2 linked regions of the Arabidopsis thaliana genome follow. The protein of the gene in region 2 interacts with the protein of the main gene of each other region in a biochemical or structural test. Each region holds a gene or a part of one and is shown on either strand. Other genes may lie near its edges. The genes, in order: AT1G07660 and SKB1.

Region 1 (3,517 bases), on a different chromosome or scaffold from region 2:
ATAAAAATATTTTCAGCGGATAATCGAGTCTCATCAATTATTGTTGATAAGTTCTATTTGACAAAAATCAAGAATCAATTATTGTTATAAAACAAACAATTGATTTGGGTTTCAAAGACCACATACGACAGATCTTTACATTATTGGTTTAGCTACTTTGATAGACAGCCAGTCGTATTAATTTGGAAAGCCAAAGTACTCACAAACATACGAAACTACGACTACGACAAAAGATAAAAAGAAAAAAGGTAAAAGGAACTTTACACTCTCTTTCGTTTGTTATTTTGTTGGGTCGCGGAATCATTTGATAAATGTTTAAGATAACTAGGATAGGAGAAAAATCCAACTATTATGATTTTGATCATAACATCGTTTCCTACTTTGTGTAACGATACTAACAAAGAAAAAACGAATTGAGAGAGGGGAGTGTGGGGACTAGGCTGGACACTTTGTATATCTTTTTACTTTACATGTTGCTTTAAGTAAATATATTCATCAAGACATCAACCATAATTAACAAAGGTACCAAAGTATCTTGTAATATTTATTCATATGTATATAGACTAGTTAATGATCATATTTTACGAGTCTTTATTTTGAATTCACTTAACGTGGCTTCCGATGCGTACAACAATGCCGTCAATGTCTCGCACGTATCCAACCTTCTGCCCCCATTCTTTATCTTCCGGCTTGCTCACTGCCTCCGCACCGTTCTCCACCGCTCTCTGCACAACGCAGCATCTCACTGGTTTATCAACACGTACGAATTGAAGAGTAACAGGCAAATATAGACATAAGTATATAATAATTGATTTCTACCTTGAAAGCGGCATCAACATCAGGGTAACAGAAGCAGACTTCGATGGGTGCTCTTTCACGTGCTGACTGCGTAGCCTGAACCTTCCCGGTTAGGTCGTCGGTCTCATGCTGGTGAAGCGGTGTGAACGCTATCGTGGTTTGCCCGCTCTCTAGCTCCCCCCACCTGTATGTATCAGTTTCTTTCATTCATCAAACATATATATTTGGTGTGTTTGCTTAGCATGTTAGCCAGCGGATCGGACCTGATTATAGGACATCGCACCAATAGAATCTCAAACCCGAGAGTTTTGTTTCATGACCTAATACGATTCTGTCGTTTACATTCCTATGATCGTATCCAACAACACCTAAGACAATCCAACGTAGAGAATAGTAACAATTCATAATACAAACCTGTGGGATTCGTCAAGACGACGGACGTTGTGACCAAAAGCTCTAGAGTAGAATTCTACAGATTTAGCTACGTCCTTCACGTACACAACAGTGTAAGCAAACGCCGGTCTCATCATATTAGCTGCCATTTTTTCCCAGTCTTATGATTCTGATTTCGATCCGATGAAATCCTTGGAAATGCTCATCATCAAACCTCACATAGGATCTCTCTTTACGGTGAGCTCAACACGTGGTCGACAACATGCACCTTCGTGTGTAGGGTACTTGCTGCCACGTGAGCTTTTTGCTCCCTTTTTTGGGTCAATTTGGGCCTACTACTCACATATGGGCCTTTAGATTAGAAAAAAGTCTTGGGTTATCTGTTATGTTGGAGGCTTTTTTTAGTTGTTTAATGGAGTTTACACAGAGAATGACGAAAAGTCGAAAGCCATCTACTACCGTTGATCTTTAAGAACCAACGATCCATATTCTTCTTACAGATTTCACGCGGATCGCAATCTTGGACCGTTGAAAGAAGATGAATCGTTACGGCCGAAAATATATGTCCTGGGTAGTCACTTCCTTTATAAAATGTTAATCCCACCACTTTTTTTTTTTTTTTTTTTTTTTTTGTCAAAACACAACTTTCATTCATTAAGGCCTCAAAGCCTCAAGAGAGGAAAGTTGATACAAGCTACGATAATACAACAGAAAGAAAGATACAAGTTAATCCCACCACTTTGTACTCGAAGTAACATACTTTTTACAATCACATTTTTGAAGAACTTTCATTCCATAAATCTACAGGTAATTCATATATTTCTGCCTTGCTTAGGCGTAGATTTCAATTTAATGTTAGCTTAATTTCTTCAAAGTTTTTCTCGATTTGTCACATTTTCGAAGAGTTTAAATGTTTCGATTCTCAATTCAATTGATTGATCTGGAAATCTAGGGTTTCTGAATAGTTTCCTTCTGTTATTTTTCACAGATCTTTGTGTATCAAGTAAAGAGATGTCAGGAAGAGGAAAGGGAGGAAAAGGATTGGGAAAGGGAGGAGCGAAGAGGCACAGGAAGGTTCTGAGGGATAACATTCAAGGAATCACCAAGCCTGCTATTCGTCGTCTTGCTCGTAGAGGTGGTGTCAAGCGTATCAGTGGTCTCATCTACGAAGAGACCAGAGGTGTCCTCAAGATCTTCCTCGAGAATGTTATCCGTGACGCCGTTACCTACACTGAGCACGCCAGGAGGAAGACGGTGACCGCCATGGATGTTGTCTACGCTTTGAAGAGGCAAGGTCGTACTCTCTACGGTTTCGGAGGTTAATCCGATTTGGGGGATTAGGGTTTATGCAAGTTTGGGGATTTCTTCTTGTTTCTGAGATCCGTGTTAAATGGTTTGAATTAGTCAAAAGTAAATTCAGGAGTTAGTTTTTGTTTCTCGTTTTTCGTTGTTATTAGCCAATGTGATGTAGTAGTTAATTATCTTTTGCAAGCTTTGTGCTAAGAAAATCTAATGAGAATTATCCATTTGCTTGATTTCTTTGTCTCCTCATCTCTTAGGATAGACACTAAACAAATGGTTGTTGAAAGCAATCAAATCTAGTTCACCATCTTATGAGATCATTCATATGAGGCAGCGGTAATTTCTCTCAAGCTTTGATTAGGCTTTTAGCAACGACGCTAGCATTGCTAAACTACAGTCAAATTTGATATGGGTTCATTTTGAGAGGTGTTTTTAAGGTATAGACTTAGCAGTCATTAATATTGCAGAAATGTGTCCAGGAGTGCAAGCAGAGAATACGTATTTCTCTCACAGGATAAAGAGATTGAATCTCTGATCTCTTAAGGTTGTGCCCAAAATAAATTACCATCAGTCTTAAAAACCAATTTGGTCGACCATAAAAGTTTACATAAAGAATCAAGGTTTGGTTGAAACATTCATCTTTCTATCACGGGCTGTGTCCATGAACCAAAGTTAGAAACTTTTCTTTTTCAAACCAAAAATTATCGTTTGGAGAATTAAATATAGCAAGGATGAGTAAAGCAACAAAGTTAATTTCAGCTAAAACTAAGAGTCTAATAATAATGCCTTTTGAATTATTTTCTTACTCCTCCTTTTGCTTAGCTGAGGGAGTGCGAGGTGAGTAGCGGTAGCCACTCGTGCACCTTCCTACAAACTTGAGCACTTCGTCTATCAAAATTACCGGCAGCGACACAGCCAGCACTAGCAGCCACTCGTTCAAGCTCAGTGGCACAATACCAAACACCTGAGCCAAGAATGGGACGTACAATATCACAAAGTGGAGTCCAAATGAGACAGCCATTGC
Region 2 (7,420 bases):
GTTGTCTGTGATCCATCATTGTGTGGATAGGTCATGTCGACTTATGATTCTCATTTCGGTTTTGTGTATATGAAAAAGCTTTGTTTCCTATGTTCATCAAAATCCCCCTTGTTCATGGCAGATCTCAACGCGACCGTTCACAATGCTTCCAGTATCAGCTGTTGAGGCTCCTGGGAATCTGTAAGTGTACATTATTGTTCGTTTTACATTTCTTCTGCTTCTTGGCTCGAAGTGCCCGAGTAATGTTATATTTTGATACGATGATTGCAGAGTAATGCAGACACTGGTCGATACACTGGTTCCCCTTCTGCTTCAGCAATTACTTAAAGATTACGACGAATGGATTAAAAAACAGCAACGGAACTCCTTAAACGCAACTTCTTAATCTATTACCAATGTTTTGTCAAACGGCCGAGGCAGGATTTGTTGGGTCGTTTTGGCCGTTTGAGATTACAGCGTGTATTAGAGATAGCTCTGAATTACTGCAAAAAGTACAAACAATTAAATGAACAAAATAGATTTGATTCACTTGTATACTTTGGCCTTTTGAGATGAAAGAGATAGCTTTGTATTAAAAGTGCAATGAAATTACTGAAAAAGTACAAACATAAATAAGGTCAAGAGAGATTTGATTCACTCGTAAACTTTAGTCTTTCTTGTGACAAAAATACAGCACAATAAGATTACATAACTTTTTCGTCATCAGTCAAAAGTCTCTAATCCTAAAGGCCAACCCAGTACGAACGGCCATTGGTGTTATGCATCGGAGATGGAGTAGGTGAAGACACCGACCATTCATACCAAACCTGAACCCGAAAATCAGAGGATCAATAATAGTTCTTTAGACAAAGAGTTAGTTGTATGGAATCTTGTGGTTTCAACTTTTTTTACCTTTGAGGAACCACAACACCTCCAAAAGTGTACTTCTAATGGAGTATCAGGGTGAACCTCCACAGGCTTCCTCAATGGGAAAAAGATTGGGAACCTGCCAAAAGGAACACGATTTTCTCTCGGTTGAAGTAAGAGGTTCGATAGAAGAAAGCTCTGTTTTAAAACATTTATAGACATTAATCCATTACCAGCTGAACATGTTTGGTGTTGCTGTTGTAGGCTCGATCCCAAGATGAACATCTTTATAAAGGACGGAATCAAAATAGCCAGCGAATCCTATTATGATCGCAGTAGATTCAGTTTCAGATTACGGAAATGGAGATGTAAAATTGACATTAACAAACAAAAAAGGGCTAGAAAAAAGCAGGTACCATGCACCAAAGCTGAGCCAGCATCGCTTGGTAGACTGAACTGAAGCTTCTTATAGCGTTGGTTGTTGACTTTCGTTGAGAAGTTTGGATGAGTAAATGTGAAAACCTATTTAAGACCAAACCAAAAATCCTGAGATGGTCAGATCGACAAGACTTGCATAAATGTATTTAAAGAGAACACTTTAAGCTATTAGAAAATGCTGGAGACAGAGAGAGACTCACAGACTGGGAAGGAGCAAGCTTTGCTACACTATGCAGCTTGACAACATAAGCAGTTTCAAAGTGCGCAAGATCTTTATGAGCCTTAACCTGCCAAATGGATGAAAAAGAACTTGAGTTAATCTGAAAACTCTTGCGAGTACATAGCAAAAAGCAGAAGAACCTACGTCATTGTAAAGCTTCGAAGCTGTTATAGGCTGTATGAAACTTGTATACCTGAAAAAGTAATAACGATGTTCCTCCTCCAGTTAGAGAAACAAAAGGACAGATGAGTTTCTTATGAAATTTCAACTAAGCGAAGGAGTACACATACGAGGATGGTATTGAAATTCCGTCTGGCTTCAGAAACCTTTGGGCTCCATCAAGACACTCAGGAGAAAGTTCATTGTCTCCAAAAGAACCCAGCAGTTCGCTAACCTGCATAGAAGAGGCAAACGAGAATTAGATGAACTGTATATAATGTCAGCATGAGTATTAGCTACAAAAATCTGTACATACTGACCAATATATCAGCTTGCTCGGGAGCATTCCAAAAACGCATGTCACAGGATATTATCGTAACAACGTCTTCCCATCCTTCCATCTTAACCAAATTCTATCAGAAAAAATAACAATGCTCTGAGTTAATTAGAAACCACACTGCACGTCCGAATGAAATCACAGGAAAATTAGCAATTTTTTAATCGACTCAGTGCTGACAACTCACATGGAGTGTTACAACGGCATTAGGATTCTTTTCCACGGCATAAACTTTCAACTTCCGATCAGTTTCTTCAGCTGCCTGGTAAAGGAAACAATGAACACATTTGATTAATGAAACAAATGAATTTTCAATGTCTCCTTGTGCATCAGGACTTTACCTGTAACGATGCCCTCACAAGGGGTCCCCTTCCTGCCCCCACAACCATCAGGACCTAAAAACTAAAATTTCAGTCCTACTGAAGTATTTCATATGAATAGCAGAAAAAAAACTTATAAATGAAAATGCCACTTTGTAAGCAAAACATTGACATATGACATACAGTAGTCAACTCGGATGCTTTTTCATCAGGTACCCTGTCCACCAAGGCTTTCTCAACTGCTCTTTGATACTAACAACACAAAGATGGACGAAAGTTAAGCATGCTTTAAAAAAAAACCAGGCTATGATATTAAATTGTTCAACATGATTCATCCATCAGTCCACTCTCCTCTGCAAACCGAAGCAGAAATAGACGAGGGGAAATCTAGAAACCAAAGGAGTTAAAATTTAAGATGTGAGGGGAAAAAACTAGAATATGCAACATACTTGGATGTATTTAACAGAGTCTCTCTCAAACGTCTCATAGGTTTGGGCTTCGAGGTTGTCCATAAGAGGCTGTATTCATTAAAAAAAAAACAGTAGAGGCTCTTTACAGTAAGAATAGAGCATTTTCATACAGGGTAAATTATCATGATGAACGGACAGAAATCAGAATTGCTTATGAAAAGAGGCTAACCTGCAGGGGTGCCTGCAAAAAATCCCTGTAACCCAGCTGTACAAAGAGTAAGATTTAGATAACTGTCAGAATAGAGTTGTATCTGCCAGCTTGCATCTAGTGATAAAAAACATAGAAGGACTGAGGCAAAAGGATGCAAAAAACGACCTCGATGCGTTCCTGTTCAGAAAGTGATTCCATCTTTTGGAACAGATAAGCAACATAGTCCAAATATATGCGCAGAGGATTCTTCTCTGTACCTGACAAACAATGCCCGTAATAAAATATTTAGCTCAAAACTTGGAATCAACTATGATTATAACAATGCCCGTGATAAATTGAGCTACGGAAAACAAGCCCAGAGGATAATAGCTAATTTTCAGAGGACAAAAGATTATACAGAAAAATTACCCTCCGAGCTAGAATCAAGAGGCTTTTGAAGATTATGAACAGGCTTTCCACAAATTACAACCTGCATTTACAAGATTGATGATAATGAGCACCAGATCGAGTCTAATAGATCTCTTTTGTGAGTCAAAAGAAGATTTTAATTTATTTCTATATCACAAAGAGTGGGATGTTTGTTACCTGGGCAGCATGATCAAAAAATCCTGCTATTAACTTTTGGTGGCGTTTGGACAAGCAAGGATAACCCCGAGCATTTGTTAAGAAAGCCTGCAACGCCAAATTAGAGGCATTTTGTGATTCGCAATACTTCAAAGTGGAGTTTATAATAATGCGGCAAGAAGTCAGGCACTTACATCAGTGCTTAATATGGCTGCTCTCACAGACTCTCCCATCCAGCGCCCTAGTGAAGTTTCAGAGGGTAGTGTACTCCTATATGAAGAAAATGGTGTTATGTTAGTAGAGTGGAAAAAAAACTTTGGGTCCACATTAACAACAATAATCAAGAGTTTCTCTCAACTCACAGAACATCAAGAGCAACAGACAGCTTACTGTCATGCTCACAAAGAAGACGAAACGAATTCCACAGCTCCCAGGAATCATTCTGCATAGAAGAGAGTATATATTAAAGTAATCCTCACACAAAGTGTACAAAAACGTGAACAGATAGGGACATTTATTTGTATTTCTAGGTTTAAAAGGCAGCCACATCAAGTGATTCCAAGGGATCCGCATTAGAGAGTCCCTTAAAAATCTGAGAAGGCACAAAAAGTACTAACAATCTTAAGTTTGCATAAAATTTGATCCAATGTCTTACCAGTCCCTCTGAGGTATCATCCATTGAATCACCTTCAGACTTCACCAGTGGAACCCTTAGCCATAACTTCAGCGCAGAAATGACATTTAAACAAAACAAAGAAGATCCACAAAATGTTAGAGCTTGATTGAAGGTGATCTTGTAAAGAAAAGTCTCATCTGAAATAAAGCTAGACCGGCAGCAAGAAACTCGTAAACCACCTGCAAGGTAGTGAGGCCTTGTAAGATCTGGTTCACACATCTGGCATAATTGGCGCACGATTTCCCTTTAGGAGTGGGAAGAAGGCATGCCTGCAACAAAAGAATTTCTCTTCAAAATCACTTTGCAGGCAAGAAAACAAAGAGAGTGAGTTAAATCCATAGATGCACAAGCACCTGTAAGGAGAGATGAGTAGCCCAAGCTATTTCTTGCTTCAATGTGGTTTCTGAATCCATCCGTAAGACCTCATCTTCAGAATCCAAGTCAATCCACGAACTAATTTTTCCTAGAGAATGAAGATTTACCACTCAAATCAAAACCCATCATATTCATAACGAGTACAAAATCACACGGTGGAGAAGCAAATAGAATCATACCAACAACATGACTGCTCCATTGAGAAGGTGACAAGACTAAGTCAGAGCCACAGACTGGAAGAACCTGAGTATCTACACCATTTCCTTCCACCAAGCTCGGCCTATACGAAGGATCCACCTGCAGGAAGAGAAAGAAGTAAACTCCGTCAAAGATATAAAATTTCAAATCCCAATTGATACAGTAACAACAGGCAAGGACGTGAGAGTCGAGGAAGAAGAAGGAAACAAACCAGAGGAGCGAGAACATAGTCAAAACCGCCGGTGGAAATGTTGAAGTTGAGAAGATGAGTAACATCGTTGGAGAAATCAGTCTCAACGCCGCAGTATCTGGACTCGGTCCTCTCCCATCCTCCTCTCTCTCCGAGCGGCATCTCTTCTTCTCTCTCTATTGAGCTCACAGGGAGTGAAGGAATTTGCAGATGGAAGTGAATCTTCTTTTCTCGAGCGGACGACGAAAACGAAAGGGTTTTTGACAGGGTTTAATTTTACTGATCTGTAGTTTATATCGGGCTTTTCTAATGGGCTTTATGATATGCTATACCTAGCCCATTTATGCCATCCCAAGCTCCAACCATTGGCTCTAAACATGTTAATTGGTTTTGACATAAAAGAGTCTTATGGTTTGTGATAGTAGTACTAGACTACTAGTAGCCACCCGAATTCAAGTGAATATTTACATATTCTTAGAAAGAAAAATGTTGATATAGTGTGTGATTTGAAGTGCTTTCTCATATCAATTATGTCAAATGTAAGAGATATAACCAAAAGATTATTTTTCACAGATACAGCTTATGAATCACAATGCATCAAGGTGCAGAGATGGGTTTCATAACATTCTAGCCAATCATTAAAAAAAAAAAAAACAACAGAAGAAACAAATTATTATTTTCCTAATCAAACAAGTAGAAAACAAATGAAAAACCCTTCTTATACCCAATACCAATAAAAGCATATCATTCTCTCAAGCATCAATCTTGAGATTCACATCCCTGGAGGAAGAGTTCCCATCGATGCTTCTGCTTTCAACTTCATCAAAATGGTCTTCACGGGCGTTATCAGCGAGCATCAGAGCAACCAACCAGAAAAGGCACGAGTCCAAAGACACAAAGGCACCTCCACCAAGCAGACCGGTCTTAGCCGTGGGGCAACTGGTTTCTAAGTTTCGGTGAACATTACGGGTCAAGTGAAGTTGTTCTGTAATGGTTGGCCAGAGCAACAGAGACAAGGCCAGTCCAGATGTTATCCTACACGACAATAACCATAGGTCACAAAAAGACTCCTATTTTTAGGCTTTATAATACCGGAATCCAAGAATATTTGTAATGGTCTAGCTACTGTGTTCTTGAAAAGAAGAGGAAATGCTTACAAGGCAATGTTGAAGAACACAGAGAAGCTGGTGCTTTTGAACAAGACAGAGTTAGGAACAGACTTTCCCTTGTAAGAGATGAACAAGGATTTGTATCCTGCTACAGTGCAGGCAAGGAGAAAAGCAGCAGAAAGGTATCCCAAGGCAACAGTTGGATCAGATGGGTATTTGCAGATAACTACTCCTTTTCCACTTATTGGAGTCCCAGACGCAGGCTAAGATGAAAACACAAAGAACAGAAACAAATCACACAATCAGTAACACATAAGAATAAGAAAGCCGAAGTGGTTTACCCACTTATGAAAAGCTCTTGACATACGGTATCCTAGAGAGATCAGTGACAATGATGAGGTCAAACAATTGTGTAGAAAGAGTAAGATTTAGCTACGGGTCAGTTAAGATCACATTGGTTTCCCATCATTAGATACAATTATGAAGCTGTGAGAAGATCACATTTTTTCATACAATCCAACAATATCACAATATCAGAGTCATAGTCCTGTGACTAAAACAAATTTGACATCCTCCATTCACAGAGAATAGCACAAATAACAACCAAAGCATCCTAAAGAAACAGGAAATCAAAACAATTGATTCATCCATAGTTAGATCACTGTTTGATACATACAATTCCAGAGTGATTATTTCCTGTGCAAAAAAAAAACTAACTTGCGCCAAAAAGCAACAGGAATTGTTTATGTGGTAGTAGTAGATAAACACAAAGAAGAAGAACAAAAATCATCATCGAAAACAAACAGGAAATTTAAAGTTTTCTCACGAAATAATCAAAAGGAGACGACTTTTTTTTGTACCTTCTTGTTCTCGGCGATAACTCCCAAAACAAAGGATAAGACGCCCAAAGCAGAGACGACCAACGACATTTGTTTCATACTAACCGCCATATTTGTTGTATCTTCTTCTCCGTCTAACCTTAACCTATATAATATATCCGAGAGCACACAGATATCAAATTCGATTTCCCCCAAAACATAAATCAGATTTGAAAATCGAATCAACGAACAGAGTCGGAAAAATCGAACTGTAAAAGAAAAACACTCACCGAGACGACGAATGAATCTGGAGATTTGTGGCTTCAGAGAGATAAGAGAAATCGGAAGATATGGTTAGTTAGGTTGCTTAGTTTTGATTTTGGTTTAATTCGATCCACTTGCACTGATAATTCGGGGATGAGCCCTAAAAAGTCTCCGAGTGTTGTTGTTGTTTTGGGCTCTTCAAGATTCTGTTGACCAAAAAATAAAAGATTCCATATTTATCTTCTTCCACATGTATTCATCATCTTATTTTTCTTTATAAAAAAA

Evidence for each region.
Region 1: of the proteins of SKB1 (region 2) and AT1G07660, one has a biochemical effect on the other in vitro, tested with the Arabidopsis thaliana proteins (one study listed by BioGRID).

What each region holds. Positions count from the first base shown.
Region 1 is NC_003070.9:2,367,010-2,370,526, forward strand, and holds AT1G07660 (Histone superfamily protein), read left to right. Parts: upstream 1-1,823; 5' UTR 1,824-1,998; intron 1,999-2,179; 5' UTR 2,180-2,202; coding exon 2,203-2,514; 3' UTR 2,515-2,726; downstream 2,727-3,517. Other genes in the region: DSI-1VOC (dessication-induced 1VOC superfamily protein), read right to left, coding at 603-725, 820-982, 1,213-1,340; ECA4 (endomembrane-type CA-ATPase 4), read right to left, coding at 3,296-3,517. UniProt on the Arabidopsis thaliana protein: Core component of nucleosome. Nucleosomes wrap and compact DNA into chromatin, limiting DNA accessibility to the cellular machineries which require DNA as a template.
Region 2 is NC_003075.7:15,131,463-15,138,882, forward strand, and holds SKB1 (SHK1 binding protein 1), read right to left. Parts: upstream 5,235-7,420; 5' UTR 5,107-5,234; coding exon 4,966-5,106; intron 4,854-4,965; coding exon 4,736-4,853; intron 4,645-4,735; coding exon 4,535-4,644; intron 4,451-4,534; coding exon 4,361-4,450; intron 4,227-4,360; coding exon 4,161-4,226; intron 3,948-4,160; coding exon 3,868-3,947; intron 3,776-3,867; coding exon 3,700-3,775; intron 3,614-3,699; coding exon 3,527-3,613; intron 3,411-3,526; coding exon 3,350-3,410; intron 3,199-3,349; coding exon 3,107-3,198; intron 2,996-3,106; coding exon 2,960-2,995; intron 2,839-2,959; coding exon 2,770-2,838; intron 2,573-2,769; coding exon 2,504-2,572; intron 2,396-2,503; coding exon 2,342-2,395; intron 2,263-2,341; coding exon 2,188-2,262; intron 2,077-2,187; coding exon 1,984-2,076; intron 1,899-1,983; coding exon 1,795-1,898; intron 1,698-1,794; coding exon 1,649-1,697; intron 1,572-1,648; coding exon 1,485-1,571; intron 1,369-1,484; and 10 more. Other genes in the region: AT4G31115 (DUF1997 family protein, putative (DUF1997)), read left to right, coding at 122-180, 271-385; AT4G31130 (keratin-associated protein (DUF1218)), read right to left, coding at 5,697-5,979, 6,102-6,316, 6,914-7,003.